Ovis aries: one gene and its partners. The protein of the gene in region 3 interacts with the protein of the main gene of each other region in a biochemical or structural test. Links are inferred from orthologs where the notes say so. Each region holds a gene or a part of one and is shown on either strand. Other genes may lie near its edges.

What was found. The genes of interacting proteins can lie anywhere in the genome.
Region 1: of the proteins of ATXN3 (region 3) and CAPN2, one has a biochemical effect on the other in vitro, tested with the Homo sapiens proteins (2 studies listed by BioGRID). The link is inferred for Ovis aries from reciprocal best matches to the Homo sapiens genes ATXN3 and CAPN2.
Region 2: the proteins of ATXN3 (region 3) and PRKN form a complex in vitro, tested with the Homo sapiens proteins (4 studies listed by BioGRID and IntAct, with this or other methods). The link is inferred for Ovis aries from reciprocal best matches to the Homo sapiens genes ATXN3 and PRKN.

What each region holds. Positions count from the first base shown.
Region 1 is NC_056065.1:26,347,494-26,353,352, reverse strand, and holds part of CAPN2 (calpain-2 catalytic subunit), read right to left. Parts: intron 5,209-5,859; coding exon 5,090-5,208; intron 4,097-5,089; coding exon 3,963-4,096; intron 2,837-3,962; coding exon 2,668-2,836; intron 1,491-2,667; coding exon 1,407-1,490; intron 1-1,406. UniProt on the Homo sapiens protein: Calcium-regulated non-lysosomal thiol-protease which catalyzes limited proteolysis of substrates involved in cytoskeletal remodeling and signal transduction. Proteolytically cleaves MYOC at 'Arg-226'.
Region 2 is NC_056061.1:85,692,581-85,698,439, reverse strand, and holds part of PRKN (E3 ubiquitin-protein ligase parkin), read left to right. Parts: intron 1-1,848; coding exon 1,849-2,012; intron 2,013-5,859. UniProt on the Homo sapiens protein: Functions within a multiprotein E3 ubiquitin ligase complex, catalyzing the covalent attachment of ubiquitin moieties onto substrate proteins. Substrates include SYT11 and VDAC1.
Region 3 is NC_056071.1:54,580,111-54,585,969, reverse strand, and holds part of ATXN3 (ataxin-3), read left to right. Parts: intron 1-2,877; coding exon 2,878-3,010; intron 3,011-3,354; coding exon 3,355-3,521; intron 3,522-5,131; coding exon 5,132-5,228; coding exon of another isoform or gene 5,229-5,232; intron 5,233-5,859. UniProt on the Homo sapiens protein: Deubiquitinating enzyme involved in protein homeostasis maintenance, transcription, cytoskeleton regulation, myogenesis and degradation of misfolded chaperone substrates.

The DNA of each region.
Region 1 (5,859 bases), on a different chromosome or scaffold from region 3:
GGCTCTTCCACCTCTGTTGTGAGCCTGAGGCACAAACGCCCTTGTTGTGGGCTCTGCACTGGCACGTCACCTTTGAACCTCCGTTCAGCTGACTATAATAGGATGTACTTTTGTCACAGGAGCTCCGTCAAATGAACACTGGTGACGACAAGCAAACACCGTACATGGATCTTGACTAAACCTTGGACTGAGGGCGTTGAGGAGGCTATAAAAGACATTTTGGAGCAGTTGGGGAAATGTTTATATGCACTGTTTATTGCATCACATTATTGAATTAATGTTTATTTCTTCAGGATGAAAACAGTACTGGGATTATGTAAACAGTGTCCCTGTGGGCAGGAGATAAATACTGAAGTGTCAGGAGTGAGTGAAGTGTTGTGACATTTGCGATTTCCTTCCAAATGGCTCAGAAAGAAAGTACACCCTAAGCGATGAGACAGCTGTGGAAAATCTTAACCATTGTTGAATCCAGGGAAATAGCATTTGAATGTTTGCTGTAGGATTCTTTCAGCTTTTCTGTAGACTTGAAATTTTTCAGAATACAAAGATGCGGGGAGTTGGATAAAACAAAGATTCAAGGTTAAAAACAAAAAACCGCACTGGGTATGTCAGCCGACCTGGGATCTACTCTTCATTCAGTGATTAGAATATGGCTATCTAACAACATTTGTAGTAATGATAGGAGAAGGCAGTGGCACCCAACTCCACTACTCTTGCCTGGAAAATCCCATGGACGGAGGAGGCTGGTGGGCTGCAGTCCATGGGGTCGCTACGAGTGGGACTTGACTGAAGCGACTTAGCAGCAGCAGCAGCAGCAGCGTAGTAATGATAGCCGCAAAGTCAAAGAGAGCGATTTTTTTTTTTTGAGCGATTTGTTTATACACAACTTGTCAGGAAGTCTGAGCACTTTACAAGTTTTAACTCGTTTGAGTCACCTCAACAACCTTACAACGGGTATCACTGTATTATTGTTTCTAATTCAACTTTGGGAAACTGGGGAGCAGAAGAGAGTTTAAACACCTGCCCAGGCCAACAGCGTGCAAGGGGCAGAGTCAGATTTGAACACTAACTGGGGCACCAATGCTTTTGTGAGATCAAATGTGAAAGCACTTGAAAGAGGCTGGAACACGACGCAGTGTCGTGTTGTCTTTAGCTGGTCTGGAGGAGGGAGGCGATTCTGGAACTTGACGGCACGGCGCCTGGCCCCACTCGCGGCCAGCAGAGGGCAGCGCGCGGCCGGCAGGCGCTGGGGAGGGCCGCCCGTCGCGAGGCCTGAACTTCAGCAACGCGGGGCTGCTGGGAAAGGACCGGGAACGCGGGGCCCCACCCTCGGCAAGCAGGCAAAAAGTGGTTCTGCCATCGGGTGAGGGAGGGAAAGATCCCCAGGAATGCCTGCCGGGCGTTACCTCCTCGGCGCCGGTCACCGAGTACGCGTGCCCCTTCACCAGCTTCTGGAACGTGATGGCCTCCGAGTCCGCCGCGCTGGTGATCTGCAAACGCGGGAGAATCAGTCCGGCCTCCGCATCCCGCCTTCTCCCTCCTTCCCTCCCTCGCTCGGGTCCTACTGCAGGGCGGGGGTCCTGGGCGGTGGGTGAGAGAGCCTCCCCACTCCCGCCCAGAGCCCTCCCGCTGTTATTTACAACCAGAGGAGAGGCTGCAAGCAGCCCTCGGGGGGCGCCGCACTTGCACTCGTGTGTGTGCCCCGCGCAGTCACAAATTCCCGCAGGAAAAGGGCACGCCGTGCAGAGGGGGCTCAGGGCACACACCTGGGCGGTCCAAATGCGCTGGGTCTCTGGAAACCGCACGGATCGCCCTGCCCCGCCCCGCTGCAGGGTTTACTCGAGAGCAGTTCTCCGTTTCTGCCTGACTTCAGAATTGGCGTCTGTCTATTAAGGCTTCCCCAGGGATCCTATTCCCCATCTGTTGTGATGGAGGTGGTTATTTTTGTCTGAGTCAACGAGAAGGGGTGCTAGTAGAAAGGGTCTCTGCCTGGACATGGTCTGCAGAGAAGGTCTGCAAATCCCTGCCTAGAGTTGCACACAGACTTGGACCCGCCAGAGCCAGGCTTCTTATGCCTGATCCCAGAGCAACCAGCTCCTCCTGGTTAGGACAGGCAAAGGACGGCCTCCCTGCCGCTGGGCACAGGCAAAGCCTGGCGGCTCCTTGCGGACAGGATGTCACACCCACCTCCCTTCCTGTGGCGAGGTGTGCCAGCAAGGCTAGCATGAGGGGACGGTTCCTCTCTGTGCCTCCTAAAGTCTTCCTACAGGTCTGCTAACCCTGCACCAGTTGGGGGGAGGCTGCTGGTCTCTGGGCACAGGCCCTGCAGGTGGGCTGAAGGTGAATGGGGTTGGGCCCAGCAGAGGGCAGGGGACTCTCACGGAAGCTGTGATCTGGGTGGTGAGTCACAGGAGGATGAGGGTTGTACGTGGGCTGGAGAGAGAACGGCTGGAGGCTGGAGTCACCATTTGGGCACCAGTTGTACCCCCAGCCAGCCTGACTGTTGCCTAGCCACCCCTGGGCTCCAGGTGATGTGCAATATGGTGGACAAAGGATGGGCTAGTTGTGCGGGGAGTAAGGGCAGTGGGTCTGTTTGGTCACTGTTGGAAGCTCACTTCCACTAGAGCAGATTAGGATTCTGCTGGGGAGGGAGGGGCCTGGACTTACATCGATGGAGCAGCCCAGGAGAGAGCCTTTCTGCAGAGCCTTCTGGATGATCCTGAACAGGTTGGGAGGGGCCTTCCTCAACTCATACCACTCGGCGATGCCTCCAGTGAAGTCCTCGAAGCCCTCGGTGGTGGCGCCCCCCGAAAGTGCTTCATAACACCCATTGATCCTGCAGGAAGGGGAGAGACACTGTGGCCACCGGAGTTGAAATTTCCACTTCTCAAAGTGTCCCGCCCAACTCAGGCCTCTTTTGTTGGATGCTCCAGGGACCCTCTGCTCAGTCTCTCCTTGGTTTGTCTCCAGTTCGGGTTGCCCATGAGGGCAGGTGACTGTCCATGTGGTTACCACTGCCTGGTACTTTGTGAAATATTTGGAAAAGTCTCATAGAACCTTAGGGCTGGAAGGACCTGGATGTTTATCTCGCCAACCTCCTGTATTGATTCTCTCTGCATCCTGGCAGGAAAGGGGTCTGCTAAATGGGCTGTTTGGCGGTTATAGCTTAAAAGGGGACAGCGGTTCAGTAATGAAAGCAGCTTCCCTGAGCATCCTCGGCACTGTCTTAGGAGGTGCTGGTCGCTCCTGATGGCGCCCTGGTCACAACGTTGGTGCCCTGTGGCTTCCCTAACTCTACTGCTTGTGTGTAGACTTAGCAGCAATTCAGGCCCCAGCTTCTCACAGCTGGTGGCTGACTCCTGGCCCTCCTCCTTGGCAGGGGCTGGAGAACAGAAATCCTCCTGGTGCCTGAGAGCTGCTCATTTTCCCAGAGATAGCCCAGGCATCAGGGCCAGGACCGGGCACACTCTGCAGGGGGTTGGACAGATGGTGGTAGGGGGTGGGTTCCTGCTGAGAACAGGCAGTGCTGAGCACTGGACAAGGCAGCCTGTGGGGGATGCACCTAGGGGGGCTGGGGAAAACCATTTCTAATCAGTATATTATGTATTCTGGGCAAATTTCCATAATTTTCATACCTCTGCAATGAATTGTTTTGCTCATTTGGCAAAAAATCTTTGCTGTATTTAGCTGACAAAAATGTAACATGACCTGCCAAGGAAGTAGATGTCCTCAAGGCCAGCACGATCAGTACCGTAACGTGTTCCTGTGCATTTGGTGAAAAATGGCAATAGCCATGTGCATTATCTCCTCGAATTTCGAGCCCAGTTTTGTCCAGAGTAGTCCTTCTGTAGTATAGGACTTTTTTTTTTTTTTTTTCAAAATCGTCCTTGAATAGTTTCTGTCTTTTCCAGAATGCAGGGGAGCTGGGGGCAGGCTGGCAGGGGCAGGGTGCGGGCACTTACTTGGCGTAGGCCTTCTCCAGCAGCGCACTCCAGAACTCGCTGCCCTCTGCTGAGTGCACGAAGAGCAGCTCCCCGTCCTTGGTGGGCAGCCTGTCGTCCACCACCACCTCCACCCACTCGCCGTACTGCCAGAACTGCAGGGCAGGGAGAGAGAGGGCTGGCCTGGAGAAGGACCTGGTGGCAGGCGGCAGCCTGGGGTCCTTTCCACCCCTTGAGCCTCAGCTGCACCTGGCTTCTCCCGTAGGAGGCCCTGGGCGTAGGCTCCATGAGCCCACCCTGGGAAGAGGTGCTTCCTCCAGCCCTCTTCCTGCAGGTACATCCTCACTGAGAAACCAAGGACACATGCTTGCCCCTCCCTCTGAGGCCACACCCTCCCCTCCCACCCTCTACCCTGCACCTTATACTTTAAAAAATACTATTTCTCATTTACCAGCATACAAGGAGGACAGTGAGCCATACCTTAATGTTTTGTCTCAGATCCTAAATAGCACACTTTTTTAAAAAAACTTGGGAACCACTTCCTGAGAACCCTGCCCTACCGCCCTCCTCGCCATTGCTGTCCTTACAGGGTCCCAGGTTGGTGGCAGGCAAGGGAGCTTCCTGATGTTTCTCAGTGTCCTTAGTAGAAGAGTATTGTCCTCGGCCCCTAGCATCTGCTCCTGGCCCCCAGGATCCATTCTAACCTCCACACTTGCTCCTAGTACCCAGGACATGATCCTGGCCCCCAGGTCTTGTTTGAATTGTGGTGTTGGAGAAGACTCTTGAGAGTCTCTTGGACTGCAAGGAGATCAATCCCGTCAATCCTAAAGGAAATCAACCCTGAATATTCATTGGAAGGACTGATGCTGAAGCTGAAGCTCCAATACTTTGGCCACCTGATGCAAAGAGCCAACTCACTGCAAAAGACCCTGATGCTGGGAAAGATTGAAGGCAGGAGGAAGAGGGAATGAGAAGGTTGGATGGCATCACTGATTCAATGGACATGAGTTTGAGCAAACTCGAGAGATAGTGAAGGACAAGGAAGCCTGGTGTGCTGCAGTCCATGGGGTTGCAAAGAGTCAGACATGACTGAGCAACTGAACAACAACCAGGACCTGATGTGAAGCTTGAGCCAACTATTAAGTTACCTGGAAGTGGAAGATCCCTGCATAGTTCTCCTGGAAGCTCTGGTCCAGGGGGACGACTCGAGCCAGAATTTCTTCATTCAAAGTGAGGGAGGCAATGGCGGCCAGCAGCCAGCAGTCACCTGTGAACACAGCACAAGGAACTCTCATCAGAGAGGTCTCAGTGCCAAGAGAATATTAAACAGCTTGTCACCGCCTCTGGTGCTGGAAGCCTAAGGCCAACCTGGCCCAGATGTTCCAGCTGGTCCTCATGTGAGGGGTGTGGAGGAAGGCTGGGGTGATGCTTTGAGGGGGCTGCTGAGGGAGAGATGTTTACGTTGTGATAGCAGTTGGGTGGCGATGGGAGAATTCATTCCCTGAAAGACGTAGACGCTGTGGGAGCTGGACTGTGTCCTCACAGCTGGCTCCCTGCTTGGTCCGCCGGAGGTGCTCAGCAGTGAGCATGTGGGCAGTGAGGACGCCAACCTGGCAGAAGAGGCTGCTGAGAACACAGGCTGTAAAGGTGAGATTGAGTGACAGGAAGAAAACATCGTGATGGATGGAAAGGGATCGAATATCATGCATCTTCTGGGAAAGGGATGTAGAGGCAAGGGAGGAGAGGCCAGCAGGTGGCCCGATGGATGCAAATACAAGGGCCTGAGTCTGAGAAGGCACCTTGGGCTAGGCTGTCTTTGAGGATGGACAAGGACGTATGAAGCCCTCTGCAGGGGGTGTGGGCACCACGCAAGGGGAGTAAGGATGGGGACAGCCAGATGGGCAGCTGGTCTGGCAGC
Region 2 (5,859 bases), on a different chromosome or scaffold from region 3:
GTCGTACTGAGTCCCTGAGAAATTGTGGCAAGCCTTATAAGATGTACATAGTAACAGCTCCTGAATCCTGAAGAGGTGAGCTCAGTCTTGACGCTGCTGACAGTGAGTGGCCTCTGGGAGGAGGTCACGTCTTAGATGGATCCTGGGGGTGAATGGGCTTTCAGCACGCAGCGGTGAGGAAGGGAGTGTCATTGAACAAAGGTAAGAGCCAGGGGCAGGAGTTTTCTGTGGTCTGTATTTTGGGGGCACTTAGTTTTTTTTTTTTTTTTTTTTTTTTTTTTATTTATTTATTTATTTTTTATGCATTCCCAAACATGAACCCCCCTCCCACATCCCTCCCCATAACATCTTTCTGGGTCATCCCCATGCACCAGCCCCAAGCATGCTGCATCCTGCGTCAGACATAGACTGGCGATTCAATTCACATGATAGTATACATGTTAGAATGTCATTCTCCCAAATCATCCCACCTCTCCTCTCCTCTGAGTCCAAAAGTCCGTTATACACATCTGTGTCTCTTTCCCTGTCTTGCATACAGGGTTGTCATTGCCATCTTCCTAAATTCCATATATATGTGTTAGTATACTGTATTGGTGTTTTTCTTTCTGGCTTACTTCACTCTGTATAATCGGCTCCAGTTTCATCCATCTCATCAGAACTGATTCAAATGAATTCTTTTAACGGCTGAGTAATACTCCATTGGGGGCACTTAGTTTAAAAGCTTTAAGCCTTTAAACTTTTTCAGGGCTGTGACATGGTAGCACTCTTGAATAAGGTTTACTTTGCAGAACAATGTAGGACATTCTGAAAGTGAAAGGAGTATATTAAGACTTCAGTTGCGTTTCCCTGGTGGCTCAGTTGGTAAAGAATCTGCCTGCAGTGTGGGCGACCTGGCTTATATCTCTGGGCCAGGGGAGATTTCCCCCCGAGATGAAAATGGCAGCCCACTGCCGGATTCGTGCCTCGAGAATTCCACGGGCAGACGAGCCTGCTGGGTTGCACGGGACCTGCAGTCCATGGGGTGGCAAAGTGTTGGACGCGACTGAGCGACACACACACAGACAAGACTTCAGTTGGGAGGCTGTTGCAAGAATCAAGATGTGATTGATAAGCATCGTGACTGGAGGAATGCAACGGAAAGGCCAGATGCAAGAAGAGACTTGGAGGAGGTGGATGGCATTGGCAGCAAGAAGACATGGAGAGGCTGCAAGGCTCCAGCCTGGGTCTTGAGGAGGATAGTGGCTCCAGGAGAAATGGCGTCTTTCAAAAGAAGGGGCAGATGCATGTTTCCGTGAGACCCAGTGGAGCCTTTTGGCTGGGACCGCCAGTGATGGCTCGGGCTCTTAGACACAACCTGGTGCGTCTTCACTCTAGTTCAGAAAGTGGCTTGATTTCTTTCCACTGCTGTACCATGAGTGCTGACATGACGCCTTTGATTTTTTATTAAGGGGGATGCCGTAGAGGCAGTGTGAGTTTGTACAGGCTGTCAGAGCTGAATCTCCTGGATAAACTCTTGGGAATCTCACAATTCCAATCAAGCAAGTGTTCTGCTTGAGTCCCCCTGTTTCGCAGGACGATGTCAAAGGGAGCATGCAATTTTGTTTGTGGGTCACTGCCTAATATATGAAAGGGAAATCCCATAGGATAACTCCATTTTTCTCCAAATGTTGCTCCATAGCCTTAAGCTTTATAAGTGAAAGAAAATGCACACTGCTTATCAAAGGGCAGGAGAGGGGCAAATCAATTCAGAAATATTGCACTGCCATTAAGGATTGCCATTAAATGCAATTGCCATTTAAGGGTTTTGACTAAAGCTTCGTGTGTTGTTTTTTTTTTTTTTTGGTCCAGTGTTTGTCAGGTTCAACTCTAACCACGGGTTCCCAGTGGAGGTCGATTCTGACACCAGCATCTTCCAGCTCAAGGAGGTGGTTGCTAAGCGACAGGGGGTTCCAGCTGACCAGCTGTGTGTGATTTTCGCAGGGAAGGAGCTTCGGAATGGCTTGACAGTGCAGGTGAGTCTCCCTGGGCGGAGGGTTCCTGGGCTGCGGCCAGCCCCATTGCTTATGCCGCTTGCGCAGCCAAGCTGACATTCATGCCTGAGATCTAATAGAATAAATAGTGCCTAGGGATTCCTTGAACTTTACTCCACACCGCTTCATTAATTCTGACCTTCTTAATTATGCATTAAAACAGCAAGCAGGTACGGATTGGAGAACAACTGTGACTGGGAGAGAGAAGAGAGAGAGAGCGAGCACACAGACTGGGCTTAGTGAATAAATGTTTACTGACTAGAGGAGCAGCAAGGCACCGTTTCTGGGTCTGTTCAATTTCTACCGTACTTATTCCACTTGAATCTTAATGAAGGAGTCACAGAAATTGTCCCAGATCCGGCTGCTCAGTCACTGTGCCGGGAGGGATCTGCAACCCAATTGTGACCCCTGGAGGATGGTCCCGGGTCTGCCGCCGCAGCTCAGGATGGGAGGAGGTTTTGGGGCTCAGGGCCTTGGAGCAGATTCGCGAGCTCCCTGCCCATCAGCGCCCGAGGCGGCGGGGAGGAGGACGCACGCACCGCGAACGTCAACCTGTGTGTTTAATTTCTCCAAGTTTCAGTAACAAGTTCCCCAGAATGGGCCGCTGAAATGTTGGGGAGGGTGCAGCCAGTGTTTTACTCTCCTGTCCCTGACGCTTTCCTGGCACCGTGGGGCTCCTCATAGCATCACAGCGCTGTATCTTTTCATGGAGTGGGGGTGGGGCTTCATTCCCAGCTGGTATTTCCGCAGGGGAAGAGGTGAACTGGGCAGGCCATTGGGGAGCAGTGCCTTCCTCTGGGAGTGGAGACCAGTCTTGTGTTGGGGAAGCCAGCAAACAGGCCCCAATACGGATTGAAGTCACTCTCTGAGAAAGTATGAAAACCCACTTGCTTTCTGTGAACTGTTCAGGTGATCCTGAAGAACCCCAAACACATTCCCCGCGTCCCCCTTTTTTCACCAGCTCAGATGAGTTGCATTTCTGCCTGCAGCTGTTTGGGGGCCTGCTCTTGTGAACAGTGGTGGTGGTGGGGTGCTGTGTCTTTACCCAGTCCCTACTTTATTGACATCCTATGGCTGTCTCTTTTTGGTGATGATGTTTACTGCTTTAAGAAAGGCTTTCGGATCTGGGTGTAAGAGAGCCCTATGGAAATGTGAATTGCCCCCTCTTCTCCAGCACCCCTTCTCTGACAGCAGTCTGCTCTGCTCCGTGCACACAGGGTGCTGTGCTTTGCTTTTAGGCAATTTGTGTTTATAAGGGAAGCACCTGTGCTGAAAAGTGTTTTGGTGTTTTTTTTTTTTTTTTTTTTTTTTAAATTTCAGTCACCTAGAAAGCTTTTTTTTACTGTACCTGCCAAGCTCTAAAACCAAGGATGTTCCCATCATAAATTATTTTAAAACAGCTTCTTGAACCAAAATATTTTGTTATCCGAAGTTTTCAGGTTCTAAAGTTTCTCACCTCTACCGCTGGAGGTGATAGGTTATACCAATTACTATAGACAGTTGATTTCTACAGATGGATAGATACAAATATAGATATCTGGATGGGTTCATTAAGATTCTTGATTTTCACAACACTTCCAGTATTCTGGGCTTCTGAGAGGATCCCAAAGAAAGTCAGTACCCACTGCTATTTTCTTAGAGACTGCTGTTGACTTAGGCCCTCTAAAATCAACAGTAATACTAGATTGAACTACATAGGTTAAAAATATCAGCAGTTTCATGGGGCTCAAACTAATAGCTATAACATAAGGGTGTCAAACACGATAACTGCCATATAAAAACTGAAATATAAGTATTATGAAATTTTAAAGATGTAGGAGAAACAGCTGAGTGAATGTCACCAATAAAGACTTCAGGGTGAGTTGAAACTCAAGTAGGATTCTGGAGATGAAGAATGAGCGTGAGAGGTGTGTGGGAGCAAGCAAAGGGTCCTATTCCTGTAGAACCTAGAGGAGGTGCTGAAGGTGTGTGACAGGGGAATTGGGAGCTGTGTTTTAGAAAGCTTTGACCCATGTGACATTGACGTTTCATGCGAGGAGATGGAGAACAAAATAGGATGCCATGGAGGGAAAAGCGAGTCTGGAAATGCCGGTTCACCACTGGCGGGAGTTTCCCAGATTGCAAGAGTTAATGCCAGGGGGAGATGCTGGCAGGCAGTCACACTGAGGTGGGGAGCTCAGGGCTTGCTCTGAGCACTCTCTGCATGGAGGTAAGTACCGCAGTGACTGGAACAGATTCAGTTGCCGGGGTGCAGAGCGTACGGCACGAGCAGTTCCTCCGGTAACAGGAGAGGAGCCGATATACGAGGCATTGTGCATCCAGCTGGCATTTTCATGGATAATTTGGGGAAAGAAAATCACTAGTAAAGAATGTATGTGCCGTGAAAACATGGAGGACAAGGAAGCAAAGAGCCTTTGGGCTTGGTGACAGTGGTGGTGACTTAGGGGCTTTCGGGCCAGGACTGTAGCTGGAGAAAGTCAGCTTGCAGGGGTTCAGTGTGAATCGCGGGCTTTGTCACAGGCACAGCTCGTCTGGTCATGGAGGGAAGGAGAGACTGGGAGTTCATGGAGGAGCAGCAGCTTCCGCACTGTGTCCTGCCTTTCACAGCCCTTGACTGTGCGCATGGCTGACTTTGATACAGTTGTAATCGGTGTGAAAATGCAATTTTATGTAGTGAATTTCTTTCCCTGAACATTATGTCGAGAGAAGGCAATGGCACCCCACTCCAGTGCTCTTGCCTAGAAAATCCTGTGGATGGAGGAGCCTGGTAGGCTGCAGTCCATGGGGTCACTAAGAGTCAGACATGACTGAGCGACTTCACTTGCATTTTTCACTTTCCTGCATTGGAGAAGGAAATGGCAACCCACTCCAGTGTTCTTGCCTGGAGAATCCCAGGGCTGGGGGAGCCTGGTGGGCTGCCGTCTGTGGGGTCGCAGAATGGGACACGACTGACGCGACTTAGCAGCAGCAGCAGAGGTAGGAGTGGGCCAGGTGTTTTCCAGAGAAAGTGGAGTTCCATCCCTGAGAAGATCCCCCAGAGTAGGAAGTGGCAACCCACTCCAGTGTTCTTGCCTGGAGAATCCCAGGGCTGGGGGAGCCTGGTGGGCTGCCAGAGCCTGGTGGGCTGCCGTCTGTGGGGTCGCAGAGTCGGACAGGACTGAAGCGACCTAGCAGCAGCAGTAACATTATGTCAAAGGCGTCTTCCCTGGTGCTGTGTATTCATTTCTAAGTGCCTAGATGATCCTCTGAAATGAGAGTGCTTATGTTATATATAGGGAGCATCTAGTTTTTAATATTACAAATTAAGGCAAAATAATTTTTTAAATGGTCTCTAATATTCTTAGAGAATATGGCCTCTGTGTTTCAGTTTGCATGAAGTATTCTCTTGGTGTGTCCAGTTTTCTTGAAGAGATCTCTAGTCTTTCCCATTCTTTTGTTTTCCTCTGTTTGTTTGCATTGATCACGGAGGAAGGCTTTCTTATTCCTCCTTGCTATTCTTTGGAGCTCTGCATTCAGATGGGTATATCTTTCCTTTTCTCCTTTGCCTTTTGCTTCTCTTCTTTTCTCAACTATTTGTAAGGCCTCCTCAGACAACCATTTTGCCTTCTTGTATGTCTGTTTCTTTGGGATGATTTTGGTCACCATCTCCCGTATGATTTTATGAACTTAATAGTTCTTCAGGCACTCTGTCTATCAGACCCAATTCCTTGACTGTATTTCTCACTTCCACTGTATAATTGTAAGGGATTTGATTTAGGTCATACCTGAATGGCCTTGTGGTTTTCTCCACTTTCTTCAATTGAAATATGAATTTTACAATAAGGAGCTG
Region 3 (5,859 bases):
ACTACTGAGCCCAGGAGCTGCAACTACTCTATAGCCCATGCTCTAGAACCGGTTCTCCACAGCAAAAGAGGCCACTGCAATGAGAAGTGTGCATACCACAACTAGAGGGTAGCCTCTGCTCCCCAAAACTAGAGAAAAGGCCAAGCAGCGACAAAGACCCAGCACAGCTGTAATAAAATAAACCATAGTTCATATGCTCTAGTCTCTTGTAATTACTATTGATACTCAATATTGTCACGTCTTGGATGAGTGGGAACCTTTTCAACTTGACTCTCAAGCTTTTGAAATGACCACTCTCGCCTTTTGAAGCCCTTTTTAGGTCATATAATAAGAATTTTCAGTCTTGTGTGTTTCCTTCCCCTTTAGTAATGGTGATTCGAGATCGCAGTCTGTGCGCTGGTGTGCTTATTGCTACTAGGTTGGTTGTCATGTAGGTCTCTCCAGTTTTCATGTAGGATCATTATGTTGTAATGTCTTCGATTTTATATACTTTATCTCTTTTCTTTTATGCCTAAAACCTTTGTTCCTAACTACATCTTCCCTTTTTGAAATCCTGTCTCTGCTCCTCTTCCAAGCCACTGTGCTCTAGTTTGCTTCATGTCGTATTGGCTGCTGCTTTCAGATGCCTTTTATGGATCCTACTCTTTAATCTCTAGCTAATGAAGTGACCCAGAGTCAGTCTTGGACAACTTCTTGACTGTGTGCTGTCCCATTATTTTAGATATCATCTCTAAATAAAGTCTATCTGCCATAATTCCTTAGACTTTTATCAACATCTACCCCAAGCACTAAACCCCTAACTTTCGCATCTCCACTCAGAAGTCCAGAAAGCATTTCAATCTGAATATGTTTACAAAAGACTCATTTTTTTCTCCCCATACTTGCGGTCCCTCTGTCCGTTTTCATAAGCCCCGCTCTTCTTGCGCATTGGTTGCTATATATTACACTGAGAAGGCAGCCTAGAGTGCTCTTCTTAAAATATAATGCACATCGTGGCATACTTTCACTCTTCGACCCTTCAGTGGCTTCTTAGCACACTTAGAATGAAATCTAATCTTGAATAAAACCCAAGCTCCTCACAGTGTCACCTCTGTAAAGCAGTTTCTGCTCTTCATGATGCTCTTCATGGAATAGCATGGGGAGCTAACAGAGTGTATCCACAACCTAGAAAACAGTTTTACTGGCATAAAACCTGTTCAACCGTCTGAACTCTGAGTATACTTGTCCTTGTGAAAAAAAGTGTTAAGTGTATTATGATTTACTCTTGAGTTTTTCCATTAATAGGCCTTATAATCTTTTTTTAAAATTTCATTTTCTGTTAATGCTCATAAAGAATATCTATAATAAGCACCAAGTGAAAGTGAAATCGCTCAGTCATGTCCAACTCTTTGCAACCCCACGGACGGTAGCCTACCAGTCTCCTCAGTCTATGGAATCTTCCAGGCAAGAATACTGGAGTGGGTTGCTGTTTCCTTCTCCAGGGGATCTTCCCGACCCAGGGATCGAACCCAGATCTCCTGCATTGCAGGCACATGCTTTACCATCTGAGCCACCAGGGAAGCCAAATAAGCACCAAGGTTGAAGAAAATTTATGGTAGAAAAATGAAAATTGATCAAAATGGCTTAGGTATAGCCCACCCTTATTCGGCTATTGTATGGAGTATCCAGCTGGGAAAACCTTGGCTTTCCAGAGTTGTATTAATTAAAAAATTACATTGGACAAATGTAATTTTTTCAAAACATGAACCACATCTTCAGCACCTTGACTAGAATTTAGGGTATTGGCTTTCCAGGTCCTGTTTTCAGTTAGGAAGGCTGTGTGTCAGGGTCAGCTATTTCCATAGATAACTCATTTTACTCATATTGCAGATTTTTACACACATCTTCTGATCATGTCCTCAAATAGCACTCTGCGGAAGGTACAGCATAATCTGTTCAACAGTTGAAGAAATCAAGACATAGAGGGGTAAAGTGATCAACAGAGGCAGTTAGGAAACAGAAGAGCCAGGGCACTAAAACCCGGGCTGTCTGAGTATACACTCCTTGCTCTTCCTCAGTCCTTTCCTTGCCTTTCTGTTGTCACTTAGGAAGTAAGCTACTTGGTCAAGCACTGTTTTAGTATGTTTTAAGTATATTTCCATGAAAAGTGAAAGGAAAGTTGCTCAGTCGTGTCCGACTCTTTGCAACCCCATGGACTATACAGTCCGTGGAATTCTCCAGGCCAGAATACTGGAGTGGGTAGTCGTTCCCTTCTCCAGGGGATCTTCCCAACCCAGGGATCGAACCCAGGTTTCCCACATTGCAGGCAGATTCTTTACTAACTGAGCCACCAGGGAAGCCTCATACTTAATTATTGCCCCTGTCAGATTCTGCACAAATTATTAAGCACAAATTAGGTATGTTTCCTTGTTCTTACTTAATTAGAGCCCTTTTCAGATTCAAATACTTCTCATAGTCACTCTATGAGATGGCTATTCCCATTTTACAGGTGAAGAGGTTTAGAGGGACTTCCCTGGTTGTCCAGTGGTTAAGAATTTGCCTTGCAATGAAGGGGACATGAGTTTGATTCCTGGTTGGGAAACTATTAATAAGATCCCACATGCCACCGAGCAGCTAAGCCCACGTGCCACAATGAAAGATCCAACTAAGACCAGTTGAAGAAATTTATATATATGGAAGTGAGGCTTAAAGACCTTAAGTAATTTGTCCTAGACCACCCCACTGGTAAGTGTAAGAACCATTTCTTGGATCCAGGTCTTCCTCACTCCCTGGTTTGTGGTCTTCCCGCTGTTGTGCTGCCTCTCTGTCTGCTATCATTTTCAGTCCATTTTGAATCACTTGCTAGCTGTTGTAGATAATTTTTGCCTTTTTTTTTAGGTTACTCTATATTTGTTGTTAAGGGTGATCTGCCAGATTGTGAAGCTGACCAACTTCTACAGATGATCAGAGTCCAACAGATGCATCGACCAAAACTTATTGGAGAAGAATTAGCACAACTTAAAGAACAGAGGTAAAGCTGAGCCTGCAGTGTGGGGTATATGATAGTATTTCATTACAAGAATTAAATTTACATGAAGATGTGGTCCTTTTATTCTTGGTGGGTTTTTTTTTTAGACCTTTCTGTTTAAGTGTAGCTTATTGGTTTAACCTTGGATCAACTCTCTGAATTATTTAAGTATACTTCCCAACACAAATTCATGTCACAATAGGACCTTTGTATTATTAGATGTTATCTGCAAAAAAAAATGTGTAAGTTTTCAACTTACATAAAAATCTTTGGTTTATAAATGTCTCTATGTTATAATTACAATAAAAGAATGGTCTGCAGTTATTATTTGTGCTTTTATTCTTCAGAGTCCAGAAAACAGGTCTAGAACGCGTCTTAGAAGTAAATGATGGGACAGGAGTGTTAGACGAGGATGAGGAGGACTTTCAGAGGGCTCTGGCACTAAGTCGCCAAGAAATTGACATGGAAGATGAAGAGGCTGATCTCCGCAGGGCCATTCAGCTCAGTATGCAAGGTATGGACATTCCAACACTTACTTTATTTGTTGTTGAAGCAATTGATTTAGATCATTTTTAGTTCTTCTGGAAATGAATATACTGTTGGTAGAAGTTCTTTGACAGTCACAGAAGCAGTAGCTATGTATAATCAGTTATTGGTTTTTTTTAGATATTATTTAATACATATAATGTTTAATACATATAACATACATATAACTTTATGACTTGTGTTAAATTAGGACTAGTTATATTTTCATTTCTGGTCATTCAGTTTGGTTATAATATGGTGCAAACACAGTACTAAACGGAGCTAATCATTGTGAGGTCAGTGGACCCTTGCCAAGACCAGCTATTTAAATGCATTATAATGGCTGTGAAGGAAGGTCTGGACAGAGACTATAAATTGATTTTACAAAACTCTAAAACTTACTGGCTGTGGAACTTTTGGCTTAAGCTCACTTTGGTGGGCTCACTCTTTTAGCCCACCACACCTCTTCCCCCACCCACTCCCACCCCAGGGAATCCAAGTAGAGGGAAATGTCTAGGACGTTGCTCAAAGGGGCTTACTTTAAAAGTGTAATGGGTTTTCTTTTTTGGGGGTTGTTTTGTTTTTGTCTAATATGAATTTGCCTTCTACTTTCTAATGAAATTACACATCAATTGAATTCCTTAAGTATCTAAATAAAATTGAGTTTCTGTTAATATGAAAATTATCCTTTTTATGCTATATTTTATTCTGAACTGCTCATGCCTCCTGGCCACGTCTGAGTACTCTGTGTGGTGCACAGGCCCATTTTGGATTAGCAGAGTCCTGCTAGGTTAGCCCAGTGGTGGACAGACACAGCCTTATTAGTTTTAGACATTTTTGTGTCCTTTACTCTTCTTCCCACGTTATTTTACAATTTGTACAGAATCTGATTGGAGCAATAATTTAGTAAGAACACAGAAACATACTTAAGTTATGTCAGTACCCAGATGTTTGAAGATAAAGGAATATACAGAGTGGGTTTATTTTACAATCATCCACTTTAAGTTACTTCTAGGAATTCTGTGCCTTCAAAAGTGTAGATTGATTTCTGGGACTTCCCTGGTGGTACATTGGTTAAGAATCCTTCTTGCAAAGCAGGGGCCATGGGTTCGATCCTTGGTCAAGGAACTGAAATCCCACATGTCTCAGAGCAACTAAGCCCGCAAGCGCTACAACTAGAGGGTCTGTGTGCCTCAAGCAAAGATCCGCCATGGTGCAAGGAAGATCCCACGTGCCGTAGCTGACTCAGTGCAGCCAAATAAATAAATTTATTTATTTTTAAAAAGTGTAGATTCATTTCTAATAAGTAGAGAGCAAGCACGTGTGGTGCTAGTTGTTTCTCCTGCCAGATGGCCACTGAACTTACCTCACGTCCACTGTGTCACAGATTGATAGTAGGCGTGGCCGCAGTGGACACAGGTGCGGTTGAACTACCTTATTCTGATTTTCCCTGAACCTTTCAGAGCCTTTCTTACATTTACAGAATGGTGCAGAGTAGTTTTGAGAAGAAAACTTTTTGAAAGCTCCTTCACCTAAGTATAAACACGTCGTGACGTGGTAAATAAAACTGGTTTTTGTTGTGTTTTATTCGGTTTTCAGGTACTTCCAGAAACAGATGTCAAGATATCCCACAGACATCGGGTTCACATCCTACTTCAGAAGAGCTGCGGAAGAGAAGAGAAGCCTACTTTGAAAAGTAAAGTAGTTGGTACCATATTAAAACTGCAGATTTTATCTTTACCTTGGCCGTTTTGTCTATTTGTAGCCATATAGCTTTGACCTAACCATTCATTTTATTTAGAATTCCCTCTAATACTGAAATCAAATATGGTTTTAGGAGAAAATTTTGCCTCAGTACTAATTAAATTTTCATGAAATAGGGTGAAGGAAGCCTTGTAAAATTTCAGTCATCAAAAGAAACATGGAATTGGATCAAGGCAAGAACAAAGCCCTGTGGTCCTTTGAATATACTTCCTGGTTACCTGACTAACCCTACAAAGTTCTGTCAGTTAATAGGAAAAACACCATTTATCATAGGAGAACACACTCTCAAATAGAGCTGGTGCTTAACCACTCTGCTCGTTACCACACCCGGGGATGGAGGGGGTTGGCTGCCGCAGGCCCGTCAGCATCGGGGCGCATGAGAGTAACCGTAAATCTCAACCATCAGCTCCTAGGACCTAAGTTTGTCCTAGCTGTATAAGTGCTCTCAAAATAGAAATTTCACCCATATCGTTATCCTTGCCAGTAACAGTCATTCACAGGTCTTCATCCTCTTTTCTCTTTTTTAAAGATAAAACTCCATTTTACCATCAGAAGATCTCGAA